6 linked regions of the Ovis aries genome follow. The main gene of each other region encodes a partner of the protein of the gene in region 5 in a complex. Links are inferred from orthologs where the notes say so. Each region holds a gene or a part of one and is shown on either strand. Other genes may lie near its edges.

Region 1 (4,833 bases), on a different chromosome or scaffold from region 5:
TCCCAAGTCTACAACTCCCGCTCACCTCCCGGTTGTACGCGCGCAAAGCTTCCATAACCACGTCCTCCTCCCCCGTCTCCAAGGCATCCGCAACTGCACGGGGCTCCATGGCACCTCCAGGACCCGATGCCAGGAAGGCCGGAGGCTCCCGGCTTCGCGATTCCGGGCAAGCGTCTGCCCGCCCCGCCCAGGCTCGGCGCGCGGGGGAGGCCGGGACGGGGCGTGCGCGGCGCCGTGGGGCGGGGCCTGGGTTGCGCGCAGGGGAGGCCGGGACCGGGCGGGCGCCGAGCTCTCTGGGTTGCGTGGAGCCTTAAAGGGGCGGGGCCTGGGCTGCGCGCGTGGGAGGCCGGGACGGGGCGTGCGCGGCGCCGTGGGGCGGGGCCTGGGTTGCGCGCAGGGGAGGCCGGGACCCGGCGGGCGCAGAGCTCTCTGGTCTGTGTGGCGCCTTAAAGGGGCGAGGCCTGGAACAGCTGGATAGAACTTGAAGACTTTGCTGCCGAGTCAGCTTTGGCCTTAAACTCCGGCTCGGTGATCGTCCGACTTATGGGCCAGAATCGCCCTGAACCGAGCAGTGAGCCTCACTCCTTGGGCTAGGATTCCTGACAGGAGAGGGCCTCAGCCCCGCACCCCTCCATCACACGCACACCAACACCGCTCTTGATGCACAGAACGAATGAAACGTCCAGGGAAAAGTCGAGGTGGAAAGGAGTTTACAACCTCCGGACCACTTGGTTTCTAAACAGATGTTTGAGTGCCTACTGCACGCGAGGAGCCGGGATGCGGGTGAATAGAACCCACAGGTTCCTGCCTTCTTGGCGCTTATGTGCCGGATGTGAAGACTAAAACGGGCAAACAAGACGACGTTAGGCAGCTATAGTGCTGTGATTGAATAACAAAAGGGGCTTGATGGGCTGCAAGGAGATCTGAAGAAGTGCCAGTCAGTTTTTGCTGAGACCGGAGCCTAGGGAGTGAGCCAGGAAAGGCTCCGAAGGAAGGTTCTGCAAGGCAGGAGTGGCCAGTGCGAGGGTGGGAATGGCCGTGGAGGGAGAGAGAAACATCACTGTTGGAGCTGAGAGAAAAGAGAGACGGGGTCGGGGTGGGGGGAAGGTCAGGAGGAAGACAAAGTCTGACTGTGTGCGGTGACTTCCCTGCTGTGTAAGCAGGCACACCTGCTCGTCTGCTTGGGCTGTTTCCTTTTTTGAAAAGCAGAGACGATACAAGTTTCCATTTCAGTGGATTGTCGAGTACATGGCACAGCAATTGCTCCATTACGGGGGGTGGGTAACTTATAACCCATCCACCGGGCAAGAAGGCTTTGTTAAGCATCTACTTTGTCAGGCCCCTTGTCAGCACCGCGTGCAAGGTCAAAAAGCGCTGGCTCCTCCCGTACCCACTCCCCTCACGCTCCCACCCCTCTTCCTGGTTCCTTGTTTTCTTCAGAGGGCTTCACTCCTGCGACTTCTGCACCGCTCGCTCGTTCCAGGCACTGATCTCGTTTGTCCTGCCGGCAGTAACTGGAACCGGGCTTCCCATCGAGTTCGCTCCGGGCCTCAACCCCGGCGGGGTCGCGGCGAGGAGCCTCTTTGGCCCGGGAAAGGCCCGTGTGCTCTTCCCAGTTAGGACCCCGACACCGCCTTAGGCGGGAATGGCTGCTGGAGTGTCTGTGGGCACCATAGTTGCCTCTAAAACCACAAATCATCCAGGAGTCCCGAGAGCAAACGCCAGCCCCATCCCCAAGTCAAACGACGGAAGAAACGTCAGATTCTTCCCGTTCCCACCGCCGAGTCTGTCGGCCAGATCTCGGCCGGAAGTGGGGGGCCTGAGGCGGAAGGGGTGGGGCCGGAAGCCCCTTCCGGCGACTGCGCCACGTCCGAGGAGGCTGTAATCAAGCGGTGACGGACCCTGGGGTCGGAGCTGGACGCGATGGCGGACTGGGCTCGGGGTGAGCGCGGAAGGGCGGAGGCGGATGGCTACGGGGCTCGCCGGGGCCGACTCCGCTGCTCTTAGGAACCGCCTTCGCCTTTCTCCGCGGCACTAGGTGGCGTTGTTGGCAAGACACTGCGGGCGGGCGTAGTTTGGGCAGGGCGGCCAGGGTGCAGCCCGCCGCGCTGTGGATGAGTCGCTGGGTCCCTTTGGGCGCTCCTGCCCAGCTGCTGCGTGAAACTGCGGGGTCCGGATGCCCGCAGTCCCCACCCGTTTCGTCCCTGGGAGATGACTCTGCACGGGACCTCGGCCGGGTCTCCTGGTTGACGGGTCCCTGAGGCTAGACCCCCTCGGAGTGAGAGCTGCGCGTGATAGGAGGGCCCAAGCATGCCTAGTACCCCACTTGCCTTCTGGGAGTCTCTCTTCACCTGCGAAGTGGGATGCTGATGCTTGTTTCGCTGGGCTGTTGTGACTTTTAAGGAGTTAAGGGTACAGTCGGTCGGTAGGACCTTTACACCTCTTATTTTGGGGTTTGTAAGAAGCCATGGTTCCTAGACTGTGCCCGCTTTTGATGAGTCTCCTTGAGGCATCGGGCTCGAGGCAAATGCGCACTCTGAACTTTGTGGGAAACAGTTCTCACCAGCCTGGTAGGGTGGTAATTCTGAATCACCAGGCCCAGCGCCTGTCTCGGGCCAGTTCTCAGCGGGTACCAGGCTCTGGGTGACACACAAGACCCTGTGTGGGATCAGTCTCAAGCCCTGTAAGTCTTACCAGAGCTCATTGGGGTTTATTTTGAGAACAGGTTCTGTGTACCTTGCTAGTGACACCTGCGGAGGGATGGTACAAGTTCCGTCACAGAATGTCTGAAAGTACTGGTTGAACTGAGCCCTTTGGAGGTGCCCGCCCACCCATCCCAGCCTGGATACATGCACAGGACCTGTGCTCACACTGTTGTTTATACAGTCCTCCTCATGTGTGAAGTTGGATCCTGGGTGAGGGTGGGGCCTGCTCAGCAGACACACAGAGGCCGGGTCCCCTTAGATGCCTGACTGGGCCAGATGGGATTGGAGGCCGGAGGCCACAAAGGGCCGAGATTATAGGGGTCACGGTTCATGAGCGGAGTCATGCTTTCAGCCTCTCTCTCTCCTCACAGCTCAGAGCCCTGGTGCTGTGGAGGAGATTCTAGACCGAGAAAACAAGCGGATGGCTGACAGCTTGGCCTCCAAGGTCACCAGGCTCAAATCGGTCAGTGGTGGTCCTCTCCTTTTGCCTCCACCTGGCATCTGGAGGGGGTGGTCAGCGGGCAGTAAAGACCTGGATGGGTTTCAGGTAGTTCCGTTCTCCTTGTCCCACCTGTGGCATACTCATCTGTGCGAGGCCCAGGTGGCATTTGGATCTTCTGATCTCTGTTGATCTTGTTGGGGGTCAGGTGCTGTTCACTGTGTTTGTCCCGGTCTGACCCTGCCCCCTCTGTGTCCTGACCAGCTGGCTCTGGACATCGATAGGGATGCGGAGGACCAGAACCGGTACCTGGACGGCATGGTAAGGGCCTGCGGTTTGCAAGCGTCACGGTCAGCTCAGCTCCCCACCACCTGCTTTGCAGCCCCCATCTGTGTGTGTGTGTTGCAGAGTCACTGTCCCTTTGTGACAATGTTGGAATTTCTCCCTCAGGACTCAGATTTCACAAGTATGACGGGTCTACTCACAGGGAGTGTGAAGCGGTTTTCCACAATGGCGCGATCTGGGCGAGACAACCGGAAGCTTCTTTGTGGTATGGCTGTGGGCCTGATTGTGGCCTTCTTCATCCTCTCCTACCTCCTGTCGAGGGCAAGGACGTGAGCCAATGGGAACTGGCTTCTGTGGGTGCCTGGGGCAACCAGGATTTTCCTCTGTCTGGTGTTTTGGGCTCCAGAGAACTTGTTTTCAAAATACTCCTTTGAAATGAGGATCATGGCTTAGGAATGTTTTTTCTGCGTGGTTGGGAGCCTCTAACCCAGTGAGCTCTTGTTAGCTGGTTCTATGTGTGCAAGGGCCCTATCCCTGTGGGGTAGCCTAGGCCCAGCTCCCTCTGCCACCTTGAGCTCTAGAAGCCCCAGCAGTGTTGGGTCCAAGCAGAGCATCTGGGAATCCTGGACACGGCCGCCTGTGAGCAGCAGTCCTTTCATCGGCCCTTGAGGTTCTGAGCATCTCAAGGCTTCTCTGCGCTGTCTTGGTCTGGATGAGGCTGTGTCTGATGTTTGAGCTGCCTGGAGCTGACACAGGAAGGGGGTGTGGCTGTGAAGCTCAAATCACTGCTGTCACCTCCAACTGAGTGTCCTCAGCCCGGAGACTGCAGTTTCTCTGGCCAGGGCTGCTGGTCATCCATGACCCGGAGAGATTCAAAGGTCCTGCTGAGTGGCCTCTTCCTGCCCTCCAGTCCCGCGACTGAAACCAGGCCCTCGGGGATGGGCAGGGGGTGTGGGTGGAGGAAGGGACTGCAGCGCAGGCTGAGGACTTGGGGCCCAAGGCCTGCAGTTTCCCAGCCGTGTGTCCAGGAGCAGAAGCCGATGTTCTCACGGGATTCAGGATCTGCCCAGCACCAGAGGCCTGCTTCCCGGAGACTAGACCTCTGGAGACATGTCCGTCTGACGCTTCAGAGTCAGGCCCGGTGTGAGGCGGGGCTTTTGTCGGTGTACGCGGGAGGTTTCTGGATAGTGACTTTTCTTAGGAACTGTAGGGCACTTTTTGAGGGTTTGTGGGCAGTTTCCACTAAGCTAACCCTAACCTGCAATGTCTGCCCACCTCTCCCTGGGCCCTCAGTGTCCACTCGGTCAGTCCCCTGCTCCTATGGACTGAACTAACAGGCCCAGCCAAACCAGTGGCTTCGTTGTACCTCCCTGTGAGTCCCCGGTGTCCTCGTCTTCCCATAAA
Region 2 (4,909 bases), on a different chromosome or scaffold from region 5:
CTGGGTTCCATGGTTCCTGGTTGAGGAACTAAGATACCTCAAGCTGCATGATGTGGTTAAAAAAAAATTCGTTCCTTCATGAATATTTATTAATCAGCTACTATGTGCCAGGCAGTGTTGCAGGTGCTGGGGACATGGTAGTGAATAATTAAGGTGAAAATCCCTGTCCTTTTGGAGCTTACATTCTAGTAGGATGGAGAGGAGGGGTGGAGGCAGACAATAGATAACACAAATTAGCAAAATACATGGTATGTTAGATCCAAGTGAAGACATGAGAGATGGGCAGGAGTTGGCAAGGATCTGGTGCACGGTGGGGCTCAGGAGATGAAAAGAGGAAGAAAGACCCTGGAGGAGTAGCAGCATGGAATCCCTGGCAGAGACACCCGGGCTATTGACATCCTGGGATCCAGGAGAACTAATATTCCTCTCAGCTATTCTGAGACTCACTGAGTGACTTTGGGGCATCCTTCTATAGAAGGTGGGTTCCAAAAGGGCAAGCCATTCTTGTCTGCCCTGTTATATCTCTGGCCCTAAAACAGTGTCTGGCCCATACAATAAATATCCACTGAATGAATAAATGCCTACAGGGTTAGGGTTAGGGAAGTGTCACCAAAAGCCTGAAGCATAAAAGAGAAGACCAGGGAATCATAAGCTTCATCTTCAGTTATATAAGAGGCTAAGACTCTATCAACAAATATTTACTGAGGGCCTAACATGTGCTGGGGTTCCTAGTTGGTTCAGTGGTAAAGAATCTGTCTGCCAGTGAAGAAGACACAAGAGATGCTGGTTCGATCCTTGGGTTGGGAAGATCCCCTGGAGGAGGAAATGGCAACCCGCTCTGGTATTCTTGCCTGGAAAATTGTATGGGCAGAGGAGCCTGGTGGGCTACAATTTGTGTGTGTTAGTCACTTAGTCGTGTCCGACTCTTTTGTGACCCCATGGACTGTAACCCTCCAGGCTCCTCTGTCCACAATCATGCCCTCACTTTAGTAACTCACAGGCCACGATAATATGTAATATTTTTGTGGGTTCCAGAGGGTAGACCCCCAGTGCAAGGTGGGGGTCTGGGGAGGGGGTTGTCTAAGTGACATGCTGCTCAATGTAACAGACTTTTTTCTAAGCCCGAGCTGCCCTGAAATGCCCTGCTCAAAGGTGGTGAGTGCAGCGGGACTGCAGTGTTCAAGCCGGGCGCCAGCCAGCCGCCCACCTGTCAGAAACTGTGCCAGGAGTATGCGGGAGAAGAGAGTTCCGCCTCGGGTGAGGTCACTTCCCACCCCCAGATGCTCTGCCTACAAAATCTCGCAAGTCTCTGACGCTGTATTTTATTCTTTTCTGAATTTCAAGGTCTCATGATGTTGACAGCTCCAAATTCTAAGTCCTCAGTCTGCCCACACTCGCGGACCCAAAAGAAAGGAAGCCGGATTCAGCCTGGGTCCTACCACCCACTGTCTCTGGGGGTAGTCAGCGCCCCCTCCCCGCCTCGCGGGGGTTCTGAAGAGAGGTAACTCGCGCGCGGGGTGCCGAGGACGTCGTGGGGAGATGGGTGTTCCAGAGATGGAGTTGACAGGGCAGAGACATGTGACAGTCGAAGCGTCACGTTCCGTGGTCTGAGAGGTTGGGACCAGGCCGGTCACATGACGCGCGCGGGGGGGTTTGCACTATGGGGTGATGCGAATTGAGAGGGCCTCACAGATCACGTACCAATGACGCATTCCCACCCCTTTTGGCAACTAGATTTCCGCTGGAAGATGCGATAGTTCCGGCAAAGGGGGCGGGTTCTCACGTCCTGGCAATTTCGCTTCCGTTCGGGGCGCTGAAGCTTCCGACCTCGGCCTTTCCCTGGGGTGGGGAAGGGACGCGATCCGGTGCGCATGCTCCAGTCTTTCCAGAGGGGGCGGGGCTGAGGCTACAGGAGAGGGCGGGGGGAAAGAAAAGGGAATTCCAACCTGTGGAATCTTGGGGGTCCCCGAGGTCGGCTCCTTCCCTTTGAAACTGTGAATGGTGCCAGGGACAGAGCCTCTAGCGACTCTTGGGGGAGGGTTTGGGGCCTGCAGGGTGAGGGCGGAGGGGAGTGTCAGAGTGTGAGTTGGGTACGGGAGTTCCAAACTTAGAATCTTGAGGCCCGCCGGGCTCCGGCGCCGGCGAGAGGGATCTCGGGCCGCCATGCGGGACAGGACCCACGAGCTGAGGCAGGTGAGAATTTGGCGCAGCAGGGTTGGGGACGGGTGGACGGGATGGGGTCTACTGGAATGCAGGACTCCTGGTCCTCGGGGCCGGGAGGGATGACTGTGGGCTAGGAAGGAAAGTCCCGGAAGCCCGTGAGTTCTACTGGGGGAGAGCAGTAGCAAGGAAGTGATGCCAGTGACCCCGGCCCTGGCAGGGGGATGACAGCTCGGACGATGAAGACAAGGAGCGAGTCGCGCTGGTGGTACACCCGGGTACTGCACGGCTGGGGAGCCCGGACGATGAGTTCTTCCAGAAGGTAAGAGGCTGGAGTCTCGGCCTGGATTCACGAGGGGCCTGGAGGGCCCGAGGAGCAGAGCAGCCTGGAGCAGCGCCCACATCTCCCTCAGCCCTCTCGGTCATCGTCCCCAGGTTCGGACAATTCGGCAGACTATCGTCAAGCTAGAGAATAAAGTCCGAGAGTTGGAGAAGCAGCAGGTCACCATCCTGGCCACGCCCCTTCCCGAGGAGAGTGAGTGAAACCCCGGGTGCAGAACGCATGCTCAGCTGGAGGCTTGTGGGGGTTGTAGTTCCACACAGGTGGTGGCCAGGGAGATTTGTTGAGGTAGAGGTTGCTATTTGGGCATCATGGCTTTCTCTTGTTTAGGCATGAAGCAGGACCTGCAGAACCTGCGTGACGAGATCAAACAGCTAGGGAGGGACATCCGCGCGCAGCTGAAGGGTGAGCTCCTAGGACTTTAGCCAGATACTTTCCTCTGATCCTGCCCAACTCCTGGTATTTCTGGGCAGTGTGTGGTCCAGAGAGGCCAGTGATATATATCCAGGTCACACAGCAGGCCAACGTCTAGAATCTCCATCTCCTGGCTTTCGGTCCAAAGTTCTTTCCACAGCATATGCCTGCCTCTCAAGTTCCCTTATTTATAATGAAACCATGTCCATTTGATCTTTGTCCAAGGCAGAGGTTAGCGTTGCTACCTCCACCTTCAGGTCGTTATCTGCATATAACTGTATAGTCTGCCGTCCACATCCCAGGTTCTGCAAGGGTGGATTCATGCAGTCATGGATTGTGTAGTACTGTAGTATGCATTTATTTTCTAAAAATTCAGGTATAAGTGGACCCACAGTTGTGCAAGGATCATCTGTACTCCTACAATTCTTGCTGCCCAGTGTGTATTCTTTGGGTGGGAAGATGTGGGTTTTGTTAGGAAGCTTCTCCAAACATGTGGGAATTCTCTGATGTATTTATTGCAAAGAAAAATATACTTTTGCCTGTCAGAGGCTCAAGAGTAGTCATTTATGATGAATTTTATTTCAAAAAAAAAGCTCTGTGGAGATATTGTATCTCTCTCTATTGTATGGCTGCATGGCTGGGTCCCAGTCCCCAAATGAATTTCAGAAGCCAGAGGTCAAACCCCCTCCTCTACCAATACTTCTGTGTCTTTCCACAGCCATAGAGCCCCAGAAGGAGGAAGCTGATGAGAATTATAACTCCGTCAACACAAGAATGAGAAAAACCCAGGTGGGTTCATTATTCCCAGAAGTAGGACATTTCAGCAAGTGTTCAATAGATCATTAGATGGCAGATGTAAGAAGGCAGGGCTCTTAGAGATCATTAAATCCAACCTGATGATTTTCCAAATGAGGAAACTGAGGCTCAGAGATAAAAAAGGATTTACCCCAAGGTCAAGAACCCGGGTTTCCTGACTTCCAATCTGTTATAACACCTTGCCTTCTTCTCCTCCATTCAGTGAGAAGTTGCTGAGACCCCAGACATGATCTGGGCTTGGTTGTAGGAGATATACTTTCTAGAAGCCAAGATGGGGAGTTAAGCTTGCATAGATGACAAAGACATTACTCAGGTAGGACTTGGTAGTTAATGGCTCTGCCCAGGGAAAAAAAGGGTGCAGTCAAGTGACTGGGTGGTTTCCTACCCATGTGATGAGGACATCCTCTGCCCCAAGGACAGAATTCAAGTCAGGAAGAGGAACTTCCCTGGTGTGTGTGTATGGGGAAGGTCACTGAATCATCATCTTAATAAGGAGATTTGAAATGGTCTGAGCAGTGTCCTCTGGGTGCCCAGAGAGGCATGGTTTGGAGTTCTTGGAGGTCAGAGTTGGAGTAGGTGGGCCCAGAAATCAGCAAAGACCCCAGATTGAAGATTAAACAATTTGGGGATTTTTTTTTTAATGGAAGAGAAGGAAAGAGTAGTTTTATTACTTTGCCAAACAAAGGGGGGAACACAGTAGGCTAGTGCCTCAAGAACTGCCCCCCCACAATTTGGGCATCTTGAAAGGGTGCAACTGAACCCAGGACAGCAGATGTGTCCTGGAGAAAGGAACTCCAAGGAATGAGCAGATTTTAGGCATCAGGAAAATGGACAAGCAGGGAAGGCATTTACAGGGGGTGGGGGGCTTGTGGTAGTCATTGTGTGAGAGGCTGAGTGCCCAGGTGGGCCTGCAAAATCTGGGAAATGCAAAATCCTGGCACACCTTTAGTCTAAGCAGGGAGGCTGGTGTTCAGCAAGCATTCCACTAATATTCTTTGAGGGCCTACTGTATGCCAGACCCTTTTCTAGCTATTTAGGAAACAGCTGTCAACAAATGATCTCTATCCTCATGGAGATTTCATTCCAGTGGGGAGAGTCACCATAATAAATTAGTCAATTATTGTAGAAATAGAAGTATTAAGGGAAAAGAGAAGAGGGATTGAGAACAGCGGGAGAAGG
Region 3 (4,767 bases), on a different chromosome or scaffold from region 5:
TTTTCAGTTCATGATAAGAGAAATGAAAATTAAAAGATGGCACTTTTCACTTAAATAGATTGGCAAAAATCTTAGTGCTTGTAAAGACACTGTGTACAAGGCTGTGAGGAAGCAGGCATTAGTACCGCATTGCTTGTGGGAGTGTACATTGATACCTCTCTGAAAAGCAATTCGGTAGCATGTATCCAAATTTTAAAATGCATCTGTCCTTTGACCTAGCAATTCCATTTGGGCTGGGCAAGTCATTAGTCTCTCTCTGCCTGTCTCCTTATCTGTAAGAAGTGGATGGTTCTACCTCACAGGATTGCTGTGAGAGTTACATTAGAATGATGCACATACAGCACTTAGTGGCTGGCACAAGGGAAGTGCTTCAGAAATGCCAGTGCCACAGTAAGGGCAGTCGTGTGCGTTGCCTTCTCCCCATGCTCCATGCTACTACAGTGTGCTTGGTGCTTTTTTGTATTGCCTCATTTAGCCCTCCAGTCAATGCTAGGATTGCCGGCAGTGAGCCTCTGAGGAGACTGAGGCACAGAGAGATGAAGTGGGTGGTCAAGCAGGATTCAAGCCAGGGCAGATGCCCAAGATGCGTTGCCCAGCCAGTCTATTAGATGCAGTGGTGTGATGAACGCTTCAAGGGAGGGTGTTCTCTCCAGGACTAGACTTCCAAAAAGAGCTTGAAGAATCCAGGAAGGAGACAGGGCTGGTGGGGTGATTGATGCCCTTGAGATCCAGCTAAGAAACTTGGACTAGTTAATAATAATAATACAATGAAAGAGTCTCCATCTGTTGAGGGTGTGCTCTTAAGTATTTCCATTAAGTAATTTAAGGCTTCCCTGGTGGCTCTAAAGACGGTAAAGAATCTGCAATGTGGGAGACCCAGGTTCAATCCCTGGGTCGGGAAGATCTGCCTGGAAAAGGAAATGGCTACCACTCCAGTATTCTTGCCTGGAAAATCCCATGGGCAGAGGAGGGTTACATCCCTGCCAGGTTACAGTCAGTCCATGGAGTCACAGGACTAAGTGACTCACTTTTGTTTCCATTAAAAACTACATTAATCCGTCAAAACTACTCCAGCAAAGTATATTTATTAAAACCAATTGCACACAAAAGGGAAACGCCAGGAGTCAGAGAAGGGGTGTAAGTTGGAATGTGACTTGATCAGTTGGGCATTTTAGAAAGATCCCTCCAACCGTGGGCTGAACTGACAGGAGTTGTTAACCCTAGCAAACTACCTTGAATTTCATACATTAAAAAAAATAATGATAACATTTGTCATTTTCTTCTTTCACCCTACAACTTATTTTCACTGTAGAAAATATGAAAAATACAAGAAAGTGTAAAGGAGTATAAAAAATTGTTTAACTCCACCTTCCAGAGACATCCCAATGGATATTTTTTTCCAATCTTTTTCCCCTCTCTGTGCAAAAAATATGCAGTCATTAGAATGGCTGATGGGCAGAATATGGGGAGACGCCCCTGTTAAAGCGTCCTGACAATTCCCTCCTTTCTTTCTCTACGTCTTCTAGGTCCACCACAAGAGGCCGACTGATTTTTCCCACGTGTCAGGCAAAGGCCATAGGACTTGGCGCCACCACCCTCGCTCGCCTCAGGCCTGGTCTCTAGGGGGCGCTGCCGTAAGACCCGGAGGCTAAAAAGGAAACCGGTGCGAAAACGCGTTGGAACTTGGGCTCCGCGGCTTCCCGTAGCCGGCATTTCCAACATGGCTGCTGCCCAAGATGTCCACGTCCGTATCTGTAACCAAGAGATTGTCAAATTCGATCTGGAGGTGAAGGCGCTTATCCAGGTACTAATGCCCGGGGTCCCCGCCAGGGTCCAGAAGCCCTAAATCCCAGCTCAGCTGGCCTTCTGTGAGCTCAGCGGCCTTACTCCCGAGCTTTCCGCCCTTGGTCATGTCTCCGAGGCCACTGGCCCAGCTCCCTGCCCGCTACCCCTCAACTGTCTCGCCCCATGGCCCCTCCCCTGGATCGTTGGCTTTGGTATTCCGTCCGACTGCCGTTAGCTCGCCCTCTTCCAGGACACCCCGTCCTCTACCTCCACTCCTAACTGGGCTTCCCCTATGTGGCCGCTCCCCTACACACCCCTGGCCGTCACCTCGCCACCCCCCAGCCAGCCTCAAAACATACCTGTCATCCTGCCTGGCCCCGCCTTCTGATCCCGTCCTCCTCATGCTTCAGTAGCGTCCTGTGGGCCATCAGCCTCGCCCCCTGCTGGTCTGATGCCCCGTGGCACCAAAGGCCACCTGGCACAGGAGGTACTGGGTGAAATGAACGTGACCTAGACCGTAGTTGTGATTTTGTAAATGAGGAAGGAGTCTGCCTGAGCAGAAAGTAGATAATGGCAAAACTGGGACGCGGACAATGAAAGTCATCCTAGAAAAAATTCTTGGCGTCTACTTCGTTTAACTGATGGGGCGATTGAGATCCTTTGCCTAAGCCAATTAAGGGTAGAAGGTAATAGTTCAGTAAACCAGTTGGCATAGGCAAGAGTTGGGAATGTAGAAATAGTTCCTTTAGTTTATCAAAAAGAAACCAAGAGTTTTAAACCTTTCTTTTGGGCAAATGGTTTCCATTTCCAGCAGTGTTACTCAACCTTAGATGCTAAGTAAGAGTCTTCATCTAGCTGTGGTAAAAGGTGAAGGAAAGTAAGCTCCCTACGGAAATCAGGTGCAAAATAAACCAAATTAATAGCCGTTAAATGTTGCATGGAACTGTGATTTAATGAGTAATCCAGAGAACAAGAACAACTTGATACAAACATTTAAACTTTTTGAACTTCACCTTTCCCATGTATTAACTACAAAACATCTGGGCCAATTCTAGAAGAATTAATTTAGGATTCATAAAAAGGAAACTGGCTTTTCAGGTGATCTAAATTTCCTCAGCCCCATTTTGCACTCTCCAAGATTCACTTTCTCCTGAAGAGAACAATTGATTATAGCTAGATTTAGCACATCCTTACAGTGTGGCAACTCCTGCTAAGCCCTTTATGTGGGTACCTGGTTATGAAGTGGGTAATGATGGGTAAACAGACACAGAAGCTTCAGTAACTTTTTCAGGATTATACATCTGATAAATTGCTGCAACTAGAATTTGAATCCACATGGTCTGACTCTAGGGCCTACTTTTTACCTGGCCCTGGTAATTCTGAATGTCCAGAAACAAATTCGAAATCTACATTTGAACATGTCTGTAAACTGTGTGATTTATCATATTAATAGATGGTGTGTAAAATCAGTTCAAGCAGTTAAAGAGGTTCGTCTTGTCATATGCCGAGAATTTAGCATCCTCATTTTTAGGTTGGAAAGACCTGAAGTTATGGTGCCCTCTCAGGTGTTCGTTCTTGTCGGATATGCAAGCTGCTTTAAGTCTTTCATAATGGCTGGATGCTGTTCTGTTAAACATCAAGACTTATTAGTTCCTTAGTCCGTTTCTGGTTTTAAAAACGTGTTTATTAATTAATTTTTGGTTGCACTGAGTCTTCGCTGCTGCGCATGGGCTTTCGCTGACCGCACAAGCAGGGGCTACTCTTTGTTGCAGCGCATGCGCTTCTCATTGCTGCAGCTTCTCTTGTTCCGGAGCACAGGCTCTAGGCCCCGCAGGGCTTCGGTAGTTGCAGAGGCAGGCTCCGCAGCTGTGGTGTGCGGGCTTAGTTGCTCCGCAGCATCGGATTTCCTATCCACTGTACCACCAGGGAAGTCGCACTGTTGTCTTTCTGCTTATGCTTCTATGTTGCTCGCTCAGACTTGACTCCAAAGAGGGATGAAAAAAAAGTAAATTATAATGCTTCTGCTTGTGTTACAGAGGTAAACAGCAGAGATTAGGATGAATTACAGCCAGTAGGTCCAACTTAGTTGTGGTCTAAGCCAGCTCTCTCATTGTACAGCTGGTGTCATTTCCTCTCATTGCCTTGAGAAAGGCCCGTTCATCTCTTCAATGTCTCCTAGGATATTCGAGATTGTTCAGGACCATTAAGTGCACTTACCGAACTGAACACTAAAGTGAAAGAGAAGTTTCAGCAACTGCGGCACAGAATACAGGTGAGTGAGTGCGCAGCTGGGACGCTGCGCCTGGGGAAAGAAAAGAAAGTGCATTGGAGAGGTTTTGCATTGTGTTAAGTTAATGATTTGTTTAAAATCTAGATTCTTTAATGGAGCGTAAACTCAATGACAGCAGGCCTGTTCCTGGTGATCGCTGCGTATCCCTCATGATGGTACAGATTGAGCACCATCGTTGAGTGGAAGAATGGGTGTGTGGGAAGAAGGGAGGGAGGGAGGCAAGGTGGGGGAAATGGAAGTTCTGTCACAGAGAAGCAGAGAGAGTTCTAGAGGAAAAGAAAGTGAGGGCTGCTGCCCCTCACTGAGGTGGGTGGCTGTGTCCTGGGGTTTGATTATTTGGGGCTCTGAGTCTTTCTTTTCAGAAGGCCTTACCTGTGGGGCTTTCGTGCGACCTGGGTTGAATGTCTCTTCAGAGGTTTTTGCATTTGCTTTTGCCAGGTCTCCTGGGATTACCACAGGTCTGGGAGCACTTTTTATGTTTGTTTCTCCTTGTGGAGGTTCTTGAACCACTCAGGAAGGATGAACTTGGACCCTCGATCCATGTGAGGGGAGTGCCATGGTTATAATCGGGAGAGACATTTATATCCCTCTAGCCACGTCTCACAACAGAAAACTCCACAACTTCTCTGTGCTGGTTGACAGACGTTTTCCTAGCTCACCTTTTCACTGAGGGTATTTGTATCCCTTTGTGC
Region 4 (4,158 bases), on a different chromosome or scaffold from region 5:
CCTCCTCTTTCTCCTCTGGTCCTGCCCTGGACCTAGCTGCTCTGGGGCAAGCTTTCTCTGCCACTCCCGGTCAGTCCTTCATCTCCCTTGTTTTATGAGGCCCTCAGCAGGCAGGATTGGGAAAGCAGAGGATCCACCGGCCTCGTGTAGAAAGCCTGGCTGTGCTACTAACTCCTGTATAAAGTTCGATGAGTTACACCTTTCACTCTTTTGCAATAGTAATTTTAAATATATTAATTAGAATAATTTAAAATAGAAATTTAAAATAATTTAAAATATGTGTGTGTGTTTAAGTCCCTCAGTCGTGTCTGACTCTTTGCAACTCCATGGACTGTATAAGTCTACCAGGCTCCCCTGTCCATGGAATTGTCCAGGCAAGAATACTGGCATGGTAGCTATTCCCTTCTCCAGGAGATGTTTCTGACCCAGGGATTGAACCTTGGTCTCTTGAATCTTTACCATCTAAGCCACCAGGGAAGCCCATATATATATTTGGCTGCACCAGGTCTTAGTTGCAGCATGCAGCTTCACTGCAGTTCAAGATTCTTCAATTTTCATTGCAGCACACGGGCTCTTTAGTTGTGGTGTGTGGGATCTAGTTCCCTGACCAGGGATCGAACCTGGGCCTCCTGCACTAGGAGTGCAGTCTTAGCCACTGGACCCCCAGGGAAGTCCCTGCAGTAGTAATTTTTTAAAAGGAATTGTGTATATAGAAACCATTTCATTGATGTTTCTAGGACTCCTCCCATCTCCTGAGTACAGCACAGATGCTTTGTTGGTCAGCACGCTCTGGGTCTGAGATTCTGTCCTTTTAAGGGGTCTGTGGCCATGAACAGGGCCTCACAGTAGTGAGTAGGGCAGTAGGGTGGAGGGAGTAAGCAACTCAGTTCTTTACAAACGGACGAGGCCATGTTTCACCTCTTTCCGGCTCTACTCTTCAAGGACTGAGCCAGAGCAAGCTCCAGAGGTTGGACTGCACCAGCAGGCCCTTCTGGTCTGACTGAGACAGCATCACCCCTGCTAGTATGTCCGTCCTGCCATCCCTGCCAGCGATGTCCATGTGGGAAAGGCACTGGCTAAGGACCCCCCCCCCCCCATCCCCCGGTTGATACTGTTTTTCCGTTGGCTCTTTCACCAGGACATCAATAGCCTCAACAAACAAATCGCCCAGCTTCAGGACTTCGTGAGGGCCAAGGGCAGCCAGAGCGGCCGGCATCTGCAAACCCATTCCAACACCATCGTGGTCTCCCTGCAGGTGGGACCAGGGAGAGGGGGCGGCAGAAGGGAGGAGGCGTTGTCTTCTCTGGCTGACCCTCTCTCCTCCTCTTCTAGTCGAAACTGGCCTCCATGTCCAACGACTTCAAGTCAGTTTTAGAAGTGAGGACAGAGGTGAGAAGAAGCTGGGTAGGAGGGATAGGAATCTGGGCATGAGGGCCCCAGAGGGCAGTGGGAAGGGCAAGGGCAACAGTGTCATGGGCAGCAGGGGGAATCTAATGTGCCCGCTTTCCAGAGGCCTCAGGACCTTTGCATTTCTTCCCCAAACCCAGAACCTGAAGCAGCAGAGGAGCCGGCGGGAGCAGTTCTCCCGGGCGCCTGTATCAGCCCTGCCCCTTGCCCCCAACCACCTGGGTAAGTCACAGGCAAGTCAGGGAGCCCTGAGGGTAAGGCCTAGTGACTCTGGGTCTGAGGGTATCTCCCTAAGGCAGGGGTTGGGTAGGAGAGCGGAGGGTCAAGGAAGTTGCTAGGCTTTCTCAGAGGTCACTCCTGATGCCTGGGATCTATGGTCCACACCTAGTCTCCAGCATTCTCCCTGTTGAGGGTGAATCCAGTCATGTTCAAAAGAATGAGCTTTTTAAATTTTTGGTCCACTTAGTCATTATATTCACAGTCTGTCATTTCATTCTCAAAACCACCCTTTGAGAAAGCAACTGTCATTATCCCCCATTTTACAGGTGAGGAAACTGAGGCTCAGAGAGGTTAAATGACTTGTCCAGGGTCACAAGGCTAGTAAGTGCCAGAGCTGGGATTCAAATCCAGAGAATATGGGCTTTGAACCTTTTAACTGCTAAGAAGTGCCATGCTGTCTTTCTTCCCCACAGGGGGCGGTGCTGTGGTTTTGGGGGCGGAGTCCCGAGCCTCTGGGGATGTGGCCATTGACATGATGGACTCTAGGACCAGCCAGCAGCTGCAGCTCATTGACGAGCAGGTATCCACGCTCTGAGGCAGGGAGGAGTTGCTCCCCTGTTTTCTTGTGTGGTCACAAGCAAGTGTTTGGAATGTGCTGTGGGTGGAATGGCAAACTGGAAAGCCCCAGAGAGGCAGGACCCACCCTCAGAAGCTCCTGGTGTTCATGTACGCTCTCTCTCCTCTGAAGGATTCTTACATCCAGAGCCGGGCAGATACCATGCAGAACATTGAGTCCACAATTGTTGAGCTGGGCTCCATCTTCCAGCAGTTGGCACACATGGTTAAGGAACAGGAAGAAACCATTCAGAGGTGAGACACTTTCTCTCTTTAATCTCAAAACCAGAAGCCTTGTCTTCCCTGTGGATTGGCATCCTAGAGGTCCCCAGGGACAGCTTAACGCCCTTTGGAAGAGAAGAGTGAATCCTGTCCACACATAAGGTCCAGTTCACCTGTCTCCATCCACACCACAAGTATTAATTGAGCACCTGTTCCATGTCAGGCACTGTCATAGGCGCTGGGGATACGGTGATGAGTAGAACAGTTAAGTCTGTTCTGTGAAACTTACTTTGTAGTATGGAATTCGATAGAGTGAGTAAGGACAACTGTTTAAAAAGAATCGAGAAGAAATTTTCAGGTGGTGATAAGGGCTAATACTGAAATGGATGCAGTGTTGAGAAAGTGACAGAGGAGGAATATCAGATTGGGTGGCAGGGCAGGCTGCTCTGAAGGCTTTGTATTGAAGCAGAGACGTGAATGACAAGAGGGATCCAAACACTCAAAGGAAAGGGTAAGAGTAGTCTAGGCAGTGTGGACAGTCAGAACAGAGGCCATACAATGGGACAGTCTTACTTTATTAAAGAATCAAGAAGGCCAGTGGAGCTGGAAAGCAATGAACAGGAAGAGAGAAGTGCAGTATGAGGCTGGAGGGAGGTAGGCAGGGCCAACCCACAGAAGGCCCCTCTGGTCCCTGGTACCCTTGCTACTGCACAAGGCATTTTATCTGATCCTGTTCTTTGGTGCTTGGCATTCAGTCAGTCATAGAGATACAGCCAAAGACAAAAGAGACAAAGATCCCCGCCCTCGTGGAATGTACATCATAGTAGGGCAGATGATTTAGAATATACGTAATAAGTAAATGGTCCAGTGTATATTTTTGACCAGTGATAAATCCATAAATAAAAGCAGAGTAGGGTAAATTAATCAGGAGTTCTAGGTTTGGAGGAGCAAGTTGTAATTTTAAATAAGGATGGCTGTGGTAGGCCCTATTAAGAAGATGACATCCTTCCAAGACTGGGGGAAAGTGAGGGAGTTTGCTGCATGGATATACGGAGAAGAGTACCAGGCAGAGGGAAGAGCCTATGTAAAGGCCTTCAGGCAGGAATATGTCTGTTGAGTTAAAGGATAGCAAAGAAGCCACTGCATCTGGCGACAAGTGAGAAGAAGAGTAGTACCAGGTGAGGTTAGAGGGGCGATGGGAGACCAGATCAGGTGGGGCCTTTTAAAGCCAATGTGAAAAGTGAAAGTGAAAGTTGCTCAGTTGTGTCTGACTCTTTGTGACCCCATGGACTGTATAGTCCATGGAATTCTCCAGGCCAGAATACTGGAGTAGGTAGCCGTTCCCTTCTCCAGGGGATCTTCCCAACCCAGGGATCGAACCCAGGTCTCCCTCATTGCAGGTGGCTTCTTTACCAGTTGAGCCACAGGGAAGCCCAAGTGGGGAGCCATTGCAGGGTATTGATTGATCTGATTGATTGGCCATGCTAGGTTTTCATTGCTGCAAATGGGCTCTAGCTGTGGCAAGCAGGTAGCTTCTCTGTGTTTTAGGGCAGTGGCCTTTGGGCGTGCAGGCTCAGTAGTTGTGGTGCATGGGCTCAGTTGCCCTGTGGTGTGTGGAATCTTCCCAGACTAGGGATCAAACCCATGTCCACTGCCTTGGCAGGTAGATTGGACCACCAGGAGAGAAAAAGAGTT
Region 5 (4,780 bases):
AATAACATTAGGTTGAAGAATTAGCTGAAGAATAGGAAGACATTTGTTCATCCCTTTTATAAGTTTATGGCATTAAATAAGAGAAACCTGACTGTTCTGTGGGGAAAGATAGTATAAATTCATAAATATGAGGAAAATACACACAAACCTCTTTTTATTGAAGTATGCTTTATTGTGCTTCATGGATTTTGCTTTTTTTTTTTTTTTAACAAATCAAAGGTTTGTAGCAACCCTGCATTGAACAGGTCTATCAGCATCACTTTTCCAGTAATATTTTCTACATTTCATGTCTCTGTGTAACATTTTAATAATTCTTGCAATATTTCAAACTTTTTCATTTTATTTGTTATGGTGATCTGTGATCAGTCATCTCGGATGTTACGATTATGACTTGCTGAAGGCTCCATGATGGTTAGCATTTTTTAGCAATTAAGTATTTTTTATTTAAGACATGAATATTGATATAAGATATAATGCTATTGCACACTTAGTAGACTATAGCATATTATAAACATATCTTCTGTATACATTGGGAAAGCAAAAAGCTCATGTTACTTGTTTTATTGTTATATTTGCTTTATTGTGGTAGTCTAGAACTGAACCTACAGTATCTCCCAGGTATTACTATAGTCTTAAACTCATGCTGTACTGTTTTTGAAATATTTTGTTTATAAAAGATCTTACAATAATTTATAGAACCATTCCTCTCTTGTGGAAGATTTGGGTTGTTTTCACTTTGTTCCTGTGATGGTTAATGCCTTCATAGTAGAGGCAGTATACAGTGTAGAGATAAAATTGTGGGTACTAGAATCATACTTCCTCAGTTTAAATCACAACTTTTGTCACTGTAATTTTAGTTCTGTAATTCTGGATAAATTATGTAAGTCATCTATCCTTAAGTTTCCTCATTTTACTGTAAATGTCATAGTAGTGTATTAATTTAATTGATGTAAGGATTAAATGAGTTAATAAATGTGAAGTGTTTAAAATTGTGCCTGGCATATAGTAAGTACTTAATACATATGGGCTATTATTATTGATAATACATGTATTTGTAAATCTAGAATCTAACTTTTATTGAACTATTTCCCTAGGATAAATTTTCAAGATGAGATCACTTCATTAAAGAATGAAGACTCTTTCTGTCCCTTTGCCATCTATGGTCATTGCTTTTCAGAGGGTGATAATCAATTTGTGCTGTATAATTTGCAAATGCAACCTATCTATCAATGTAATTATGTGTGTATGTATGTATCATATGCATTGCATTGTATACACACATATACATAAAAGTATATATATATATATATGTGTATCCATTTGATTTGTCTCTGTATTTGAATGCACATCAGTATGTTTTAGGCTTGTACAAGACTGTGACCTTGTTAAGTCTGTTCTGTTTACTCTTACAGTGCCTTGGTCAATATTGTCATGGATGGATGGATGGATGTTGGTAAATGATAGATAGTAAGTTACTTTTGAAAGGTTATATCAAAGAAATATTCTAAATCTTATGTTTCTTTTTTTTTTTTTTCTTTTTGATAGATTGAAGCCATGGCCATTCTTTTTGCTGTTGTTGCCAGGGGAACCACTATCCTTGCCAAACATGCTTGGTGTGGAGGCAACTTCCTGGAGGTGACAGAGCAGATTCTGGCTAAGATACCTTCTGAAAATAACAAACTAACGTACTCACATGGCAAGTGAGTTCTGCTTTGTGTGGGTAGCGGGTAAAAGAAATGAATTGTATTATTATACTCAGAACAGTAGAAAACTAGAAAAGCAAGCTTCTCAGTAGATAATTTTAATAAGCTGACAGAACAATAATCTTTACCAGCTTAGAAAATGTCTGGTTCTATTAATTTTAAATTTAGCTAAAAATTATTTTATTCTGTCACCTAAGTGTTACTTGTATTTTAAAGAACAATATGGAAATGTTAGATATAAAAGTGATTCTGCTATAGAGCTCTAGGATATGTGAAACTTGATATAGTTATGATAAATAATAATTATTTGTTCATTCTTTCTGTAAATATTTACTGAGCACTTAACTGTCACCAGACACTTTGGTGGTGCTGGAGATACATGAAATTACTCAGTATTTGTCCTCGTTGTTTAATGGAGGTTATAGTTTAATGAAGGAGATGGTCAAATTCATAGATAATCACAGTAGAGAGTAGAAAGTAGTGGGTAGGGGGTGGTATTGCAGGTAGAAGGAACAGCTGGTAGAGAAGTATGGAGACATGAGCTCATAATGCATATTTAGTGAACTTCGGGTGATTCTCTGTGACTGGTGCACAACGTCATGAAAATAAAGCTAGAGAGATTGACAGAAGAGAAGTCCTATAGGGCCTCATAGGCCATGTTAAGGGGTTGTACATTACGCAGTGGGCAATGGGAAGGCATTGAACGTTTCCAGCTGGGGTGTGACATGGTAAGGTTTTGCTTTAGAAAGATCACTGTTGTGGCTGATTGGAGAATGAATTGAAGGGGGCATAGGTGGGAAATCTTAGTAATCATAAATATTGCCTCAGCCTTCCTCCTTAATACTTAAAAATCTTTTGCTACCTAACTCATCCTAATTTCCTTAGACCCTATCTCAGTAGGAGGTCCTTGTTGGTTTCCAGAACTAACTCCTTATATCATTTAGGATTTAGTGTAAGCTACTGCAACAGAGAGACCCTAAAAGACAGTGTTAATTTATGAGATAGCCCAGAGGTGAAGACTTCGGGACTGTTGGAGTGGCTCTGCCAGTTTCAGTTAGTGCCTTGGAATTCTGGCCAAGGCAGCTTCTTCAGCTCTGGTATTTTTTAAGGCACATTCCAGAAGTGGCTGATAGTATTGTTCACTACATCATTATGCAGCTAACCTAGCTGGAAATGGAGACTAAAATTTGTCATTTCTAGCTATGTAGCCATGTGCTCAGCTAGAACTCCATTACTCTGGAAGAAATTCTAGGGTATCAGGAGATAGCTCACAATCTTCTAGTCTACTCTTCTGGGCCTCCAAAATATTTGGATGTGCTCTTCTTCCCAAAAAACACACTTCCTCTCTGCAGGAAGTGGCCCCAAAGATTTATCTGATCGCTTTGTCCAGCTCCAGGTCCAGACAGTCTGGGTGATACAGTCCTCTCCGTCATACCCAGAGATGACTCCTGTGGCCTATTGACATGCAGATGTCACTGCTTCCCAGCAGTATTCAAATAACTACCACACAGTAATTTCAGAGACTCCTGTTCTGACCCAGGAGTGGTTCTGCTTTGCATGAAGAATTTCTTCATCTTTTCTCCCTTTGTTCTCCCAGAGGCTCCTCCTGGTACATTATCCTCTGTGGCCACGTCCAAAATGGGTATTAGTGAGTTTGTCATCTTTGGGAACTGCACAGGTTCCATAGTCTACTACTCTCTGGTGTAGTTTAGGGTCTGAGAAATTACCTAGGGGTTAAATGACTCTGGTTGCTCGTGAGTATGGCTTTAGGGTTTCTTAAAAAATTTGCTGGGCTTAACGATCGTGTTTCTAGTCAGTTCCCAGGAAAATGCTCAGGGAAAGCATGTGTCATCTTTTTAGAGGCAAGACTGGGAAGCAGGATATATACCTTCCACTCACATTTTATCAGGCAGAACTTATCACATAGCCATATCTAACTCTAAGGGAAGTTGGCTATGTAATCCAATGAAAATGTGGTTATACTGCAAGAAAGCAATGTTACTTATCTGCTGTGTCTTTCTACCTACATCCTTACCCAGTCCTACCTGGTCTCATTTGGAGTAAGTATCCGTCACTGAGTTGTTTCTTTCTTTTTAAGCTTCTACCTTGGTTTCTTTCCTATAATCATGTTCCATTATCCCAATCAAACATATCTTTTATTTCAGTCAGTTCACTTCACTCAGTCATTTCCGACTCTTTGTGACCCCATGGACTGCAGCATGCCAAGCTTCCCTGTCCATCACCAACTCCCGGAGCTTACTCAAACTCATGTCCATTGAGTTGGTGATGCCATCCAACCATCATCCTCTGTCATTCCCTTCTCCTCCTGCCTTCAATCTTTCCCAACATCAGGGTCTTTTCCAGTGTTATCACTGTATACCAAAAGAAAAAGTTCCATTTTACTGTATGAAAATAATTTTTTCCTGAAATCTGACCTTCTTCTTGCTATTTCTTTCATTAATAGCATCACCAGTCATTCAGCTGGCTAAGCTTAAAACTTCAGAATCACATTTGACTTCTTCACCAAATCTTTGCCATTCTGCTACAAGAGGTATTTTAGTCTCCTCTCTCCACATTCATCATAGTGTTTGCTCAGACATTCATTGTTTCTCATTCCTAATGACCTCCTCCTAACTGGTTTTTCGGCTCCCTTGGTGGCTCAGTCAGTAAGGAATCCATCTGCAATGCAGATCACCTGCAGCACGGGAGACACAGGTTTGATCCCTGGGTCAGGAATGTCTCCTGGAGAAGGAAATGACAACCCACTCCAGCATTCTTGCCTGGAGAATTCCATGGACAGAGGAGCCTGGTGGGCTACAGTCCATGGTGTTGCAAACAGTTGGACATGACTGAGCGACTAAACCACAACTGGTCTTTCTGCTTCTAGTTGATCCCTCCTTAAATCTGTATTTAACATTCCTAAGATTATACTTTCTTGCTTAAAACCCAAACTAAGCCTTCATTATTTTGTCTATTTCTGACTTTTCCATCTTTGTCTCTATAGATATCTTTGTCATTCCCAGACCAATCTATGTTATTTTAAGCTTTGGTATATATATATTTTTGATCTTGCATCT
Region 6 (4,893 bases), on a different chromosome or scaffold from region 5:
CACAGTGCAGTCTCAATTCAAATGTTATTAACTTGGGTTGTTGATAATTTGATTGTTCATTCACCCATTTCTGCTAATCTTTTATGACACTGTTCAAAGACCACTTTTTCCAACCCAGGCTATTTATAATCTTTCCTTTTTGTACCTGCCTTTTCTGTAACACAATGCTATTCACTACTACTAACAATCCCAGACTTTGCTATCTCTGAATGCTCAATGAATACTGGTGTCTCAGTGATAAAGAATCCGCCTGCAGTGCAGAAGACTTGGGTTCCATCCCTGGGTCAAGAATATTCCCCTGGAGAAGAGAATGGCTACCCACTCCAGTATTCTTGCCTAGGAAATCCCCTGGACAGAAGAGCCTGGCAGGCTGCAGTCCATGGAGTCACAAAGAGCTGGATACAACTGAGCGACTGACACTTTTCACTTTCTTGGGACTTATCACAGTACACTGCTACTAACAACTGCAGACTTGGCTACACAAAGAGCTCAACAAATGTTTGTTGAATCAAAGGCCAATGAACTCAGTCTAATAAAAATAAGGGCCCAGGAGGTATATACATCACCAAATCATTTCCCCCGAACAGTCAAATGTATCTTAATGTGTGGGCAGTCTTCAGTATTGGGCTGCCAAGGAAACATTTCAGAATGAACTCCATAGGCAAACCATGTAATCAACGGAAATAGGAACTTTCTCCCACTAACCATGGGAACCCACAGAGTGCAGGAAAAGGCTTTGTAATCGTTAACACATTACACTTAATGGTGAAGCCAGGTCTGTCTTGCTCACTACATTATAAGTTATCCAAGCGATGAATCTTTTATTCACCAACACATGCCCAGAACCCAGCATAAAGGCTATGGTTAAATTGACAAACACCTGCTGAGTGAATGACTGCATGAGCAAGCCGATATATGAGCTCAGCCCAAATAAGAGGCTGAGCGCATATTTGAGGGGTCGCACTGCTGTCCGGGGGCCACTCCTGAAAGCATGTCACTCCAGTCACCTGCTCCCCAATAAAAGTGCTTTCAACTCGGGGGCAGGCAGGCACCTGGTCCTACTATCTTCTGAGAACTGAAAGCTAACAGCCGGAATGTGAACTGAGGAAATCAGGATAGTCACAGTGCGATGATAATGACGACGACGGCCAGGTGCCAACTGATACCCTAACCGCTGCGCATCGCGGTCACGCCGGCGGCCGCGGTTACAGCAGGACCACCGCCCCCGGCAACTCGTGACTTCCGAGTCGGAGCGTCTTTCGTGCCGAACTACAACCCCCGGCATGCACTGCAGAGCCCCCCCCCCCAATCCTTGCCGGAAGGCGGGGCCCAGGAAAGAGGCGCCCGCGTCGGCCGGCCCGCGGGTGCCCATGTTTTCCTTCCGCCATCCGGCCTCCCTACAGCCTCGGACTGAGTATTTCTGGGGTTCCGAGACTGCCGCTCGCGCCAAAGCGCCACCGCCCCTTCAGAAGTCTCCCGGGCAACGGAGCCAGACTAACTTTCTGTCAGGCTTTGACGCCCGGCGCGCCGTCAGTGACGGCAAGCAGGGGATGGGCGTTCCGGCCCGGGAGGACCCCGCCGCGGCCCCGGAAGCGCCTCGTCGGGGGACTGTGGCGGCGGTCGCCGTGATGCCTGAGGGGCTGGGCGGCTGACGGCGGAGTAGGAGCGGGCCCTGGGCCCAGAATCTCGGCGCCCGCTGCTCGAGAGCGGCCTGCGCCATGGCCACCTCCGCCGCCTCCTCGGAGCATTTCGAGAAACTGCACGAGATCTTCCGCGGCCTCCATGAAGACCTACGAGGGGTGCCGGAGCGGCTCCTGGGGATGGCAGGGACAGGTGAGGTGGGGGCGGGATGAGACAACGGGAACAGCGCTCCGCTAGCACCGGGAGGAAGAACCCCCACCTCCTTTCCAGACCCACCCTCCCGTCTCTCGCTTGGCGTCCTCAGGCACGCCCCCTAGGCCTGGCTGAGTCCCGGCGTCCAGAATCTCCGTGCTGACACTTAGGTACCCAGGGGTCCACCACGGAGTGTCATCTCTCTCTTGAATCCCCTGTTGCCTTCAGAGTTCGCTCGTTTCATTTTCACTGTGGCAAGATGGGCATGAGAGACCTTATACCTGTGACCCTTAAATCTGTAAACTGAGTATAATTGGTTTTCTTTGTGGCTCTCAGTACTTTGTTTTCCGCGCTTGAAAGTGTTCTCCAAAGAGGCCCATAGTTTTCACCAGATTGGCAAAGGACCTGTAGCACAAAAAGGGTTAAAAACCCAAAGCCATCATAACTTTGGAGGCTGGTGTAAATAACCAGTCTTGGGGGCGGGTAGGGGTTGGGGGAGGGATTGGTCTTTAAAATGAGGATGGTGGCCTTCAGGTGCGATCCTTTTATGACCTCTGCTTAGACCTTCCTGCCCCTTGATTTCATAATGCAGTGTGCTGCAAGCTTGTCTTGGGGGAGCTAAGAATTTTTTGATTGAATCTGTATAGGAAGGTCTATCATAGTTCTTTGCCTTAAAACAAGTAGATCTTGATGGCAAGGCCGATGAGACTTTCATTGCTTTTCCTGAAGCGTGGAAGCTTGAGTGTTTGCTCTGTTACCTAAGGTCACATGAATTGAATGACTCTGATGAGAATGAAACTCATACTTTTGTTTAACATATAGTTATTAAGAGAGGCTGCTGTGCACTCGGCACTGTGTAGATGCTGGTAATATTGCAAATTGCTGTGAAAAGACTTAGAGACCTCTGTTCTTATGGGTCGATGATGATATAAATATTTGGAAGTGGTGTTAAGGGCCATACAGGAAAATAAAGCAGGGCAAGGAATGGGGAAGCTCTAATTGTAAATTGGATGGCTATGAAAGGCCTCTTTGAGGAGGTAACGTTTGAGCAGAGACTTGAAGTAAGGGACTGAACCATGCAAAAATTTGGGAGAAATAAGTTTCAGGAGGACAGACTAGTACTGCTGCTGCTGCTAAGTCACTTCAGTCGTGCCCAACTCTATGCAACCCCATAGACGGCAGCCCAGCAGGCTTCCCCATCCCTGGGATTCTCCAGGCAAGAAGACTGGAGTGGGTTGCCATTTCCTTCTCCAGAATAGTACTGCAATAGTCCTTAAGCAGAAGTGAGCTTGGTATGCTCTAGGAAGAACTAAAGGGCCAGTGTGTTTAGGGTGGAATGAGCAAAGGAAATAATAGTAATAGATAAGGTTTTAAAGGGCCAGATTGTGTGGGGCCACGTGAACCCTGGTGAAAGATTTGCATCTTTATCTAAATACAGTGACTTGAAGTTAAAGGCTACAGAACAGGAGAGTGATTGGATCTGATTTACATGGTTGAAAAATAGATCATTTTTTTCACCTGGTGTTGATTTAAATTTTGCAAGATTTGTTTTTGTAAGGGTGTGGTTGTGGTTTAGTTGCTAGGTCGTGTCTGACTCTTTCCAACCGCATGGACTGTAGCCCACCGGACTCCTCTGTCCATGGCGTTTCCCAGATTGGAGTGGGTTGCCATTTCCTTCTCCAGGGGATCTTCCCAACCCAGGGATTGAAACCCCTGTCTCCTGCATTGCACTTGGTCTCCTGCATTGTAGGCGACTTCTTTACCAACTGAGCTATCAGGGAAGGCTAAATAATGCCAAAGGACATTCTGTTTCCAAAAATAGAAAACTTAGTTGTATTCACTTTTGTCATCTACCTGAGGACAATCAAAAAGGTGTGAATTTCTACCCAGGTACAAAATAGTCTCCACACAAGTTGCTGGTAACACTTAGTTGTTCAGTGGGTAAGTATTATATAGTATTTGCATATCCTCAGGTTATAAGAATTTCAACAGCCTTCAGTCCCTTTATTCACTGCTTTGTTTATATTCCTCAATAAATATTTGTTGAATAAGTTGGATTTAATTAAGCAAACATACTGGGGTGTCATCTCTGAATCCTTTTTTTCTTGTACTAAGACGACTTCATAGGCTTTCCAAAGCTTTCCTATCATGAATTATTAGGCACTGAATAATATAGTCACTGAATAATACATTAATACATAACACATCCCTTGCATTTAGCTTATGCTCTGTAATTGAATTCAGTATTTTCAATAAACATCTATCAAGAATTATGAATCACTCAATATCCTGGGTCTGGGGAGTTCTGTGAGTTCTTGCCTTAAATGGGAGATTTCCAAAGTGTGTGATGAGTCCTAAGATAGTTTTGAGACCGTGACAGGAAGGCTAACATGGCCGTAGGGGAGTGAGAGGAAAGCTTCTCAGAAAGGAGAACTTCTGAGTGTAAAGGGTTGAGTGGGAATTTGCCTGAGAGGGGAAGTGAGAAGAGACAACAAAGGAAGGGGAAAAGAAAAGTCAAATATTCAGAACTGTGACTGAAACAAGATGTGTGTAGGAGATCAATAGTAGATGAGGTAAGTAAGACACAGCCAGACCTTTCAGTTCAGTTCAGTCGCTCAGTCGACTCTTGGCAACCCCATGAATCGCAGCACGCCAGGCCTCTCTGTCCATCACCAGCTCCCGAAGTTCACTCAGACTCATGTCCATCGAGTCAGTGATGCCATCCAGCCATCTCATCCTCTGTCGTCCCCTTCTCCTCCTGCCCCCAATCCCTCCCAGCATCAGAGTCTTTTCCAGTGAGTTAGCTCTTCGCATGAGGTGGCCAAAGTACTGGAGTTTCAGCTTTAGCGTCAGTCCTTCCAAAGAACACCCAGGACTGATCTTTAAAATGGACTGGTTGGATCTCCTTGCAGTCCAAGGGACTCTCAAGAGTCTTCTGCAACACCACAGTTCAAAAGCATCAATTCTTCGGCGCTCAGCTTTTTTCACAGTCCAACTCTCATATCCATACATGACCACAGGAAAAACCATAGCCTTGACTAGACGGACCTTTGTTGGCAA

Evidence for each region.
Region 1: VAMP7 (region 5) and BET1L share a complex: the UniProt entries of both Homo sapiens proteins name them as parts of the SNARE complex. The link is inferred for Ovis aries from reciprocal best matches to the Homo sapiens genes VAMP7 and BET1L.
Region 2: VAMP7 (region 5) and STX4 share a complex: the UniProt entries of both Homo sapiens proteins name them as parts of the SNARE complex. The link is inferred for Ovis aries from reciprocal best matches to the Homo sapiens genes VAMP7 and STX4.
Region 3: VAMP7 (region 5) and BNIP1 share a complex: the UniProt entries of both Homo sapiens proteins name them as parts of the SNARE complex. The link is inferred for Ovis aries from reciprocal best matches to the Homo sapiens genes VAMP7 and BNIP1.
Region 4: VAMP7 (region 5) and STX5 share a complex: the UniProt entries of both Homo sapiens proteins name them as parts of the SNARE complex. The link is inferred for Ovis aries from reciprocal best matches to the Homo sapiens genes VAMP7 and STX5.
Region 6: VAMP7 (region 5) and VTI1B share a complex: the UniProt entries of both Homo sapiens proteins name them as parts of the SNARE complex. The link is inferred for Ovis aries from reciprocal best matches to the Homo sapiens genes VAMP7 and VTI1B.

Annotation. Positions count from the first base shown.
Region 1 is NC_056074.1:47,477,904-47,482,736, forward strand, and holds the start of BET1L (BET1-like protein), read left to right. Parts: upstream 1-1,857; 5' UTR 1,858-1,923; coding exon 1,924-1,942; intron 1,943-3,076; coding exon 3,077-3,168; intron 3,169-3,408; coding exon 3,409-3,465; intron 3,466-3,594; coding exon 3,595-3,762; 3' UTR 3,763-4,833. Other genes in the region: RIC8A (synembryn-A), read right to left, coding at 26-109. UniProt on the Homo sapiens protein: Vesicle SNARE required for targeting and fusion of retrograde transport vesicles with the Golgi complex. Required for the integrity of the Golgi complex.
Region 2 is NC_056077.1:27,672,790-27,677,698, forward strand, and holds the start of STX4 (syntaxin-4), read left to right. Parts: upstream 1-1,878; 5' UTR 1,879-2,163; coding exon 2,164-2,193; intron 2,194-2,380; coding exon 2,381-2,482; intron 2,483-2,595; coding exon 2,596-2,695; intron 2,696-2,830; coding exon 2,831-2,905; intron 2,906-3,407; exon of another isoform or gene 3,408-3,632; coding exon 3,633-3,703; exon of another isoform or gene 3,704-4,909. UniProt on the Homo sapiens protein: Plasma membrane t-SNARE that mediates docking of transport vesicles. Necessary for the translocation of SLC2A4 from intracellular vesicles to the plasma membrane.
Region 3 is NC_056069.1:5,004,977-5,009,743, forward strand, and holds the start of BNIP1 (vesicle transport protein SEC20), read left to right. Parts: upstream 1-1,711; 5' UTR 1,712-1,720; coding exon 1,721-1,804; intron 1,805-3,964; coding exon 3,965-4,057; intron 4,058-4,767. UniProt on the Homo sapiens protein: As part of a SNARE complex may be involved in endoplasmic reticulum membranes fusion and be required for the maintenance of endoplasmic reticulum organization. Also plays a role in apoptosis.
Region 4 is NC_056074.1:37,666,823-37,670,980, reverse strand, and holds part of STX5 (syntaxin-5), read left to right. Parts: intron 1-1,138; coding exon 1,139-1,255; intron 1,256-1,332; coding exon 1,333-1,389; intron 1,390-1,547; coding exon 1,548-1,629; intron 1,630-2,099; coding exon 2,100-2,206; intron 2,207-2,374; coding exon 2,375-2,496; intron 2,497-4,158. UniProt on the Homo sapiens protein: Mediates endoplasmic reticulum to Golgi transport.
Region 5 is NC_056080.1:82,158,075-82,162,854, forward strand, and holds the start of VAMP7 (vesicle-associated membrane protein 7), read left to right. Parts: upstream 1-1,554; coding exon 1,555-1,700; intron 1,701-4,780. UniProt on the Homo sapiens protein: Involved in the targeting and/or fusion of transport vesicles to their target membrane during transport of proteins from the early endosome to the lysosome. Required for heterotypic fusion of late endosomes with lysosomes and homotypic lysosomal fusion.
Region 6 is NC_056060.1:77,615,676-77,620,568, reverse strand, and holds the start of VTI1B (vesicle transport through interaction with t-SNAREs homolog 1B), read left to right. Parts: upstream 1-1,588; 5' UTR 1,589-1,718; coding exon 1,719-1,833; intron 1,834-4,893. UniProt on the Homo sapiens protein: V-SNARE that mediates vesicle transport pathways through interactions with t-SNAREs on the target membrane. These interactions are proposed to mediate aspects of the specificity of vesicle trafficking and to promote fusion of the lipid bilayers.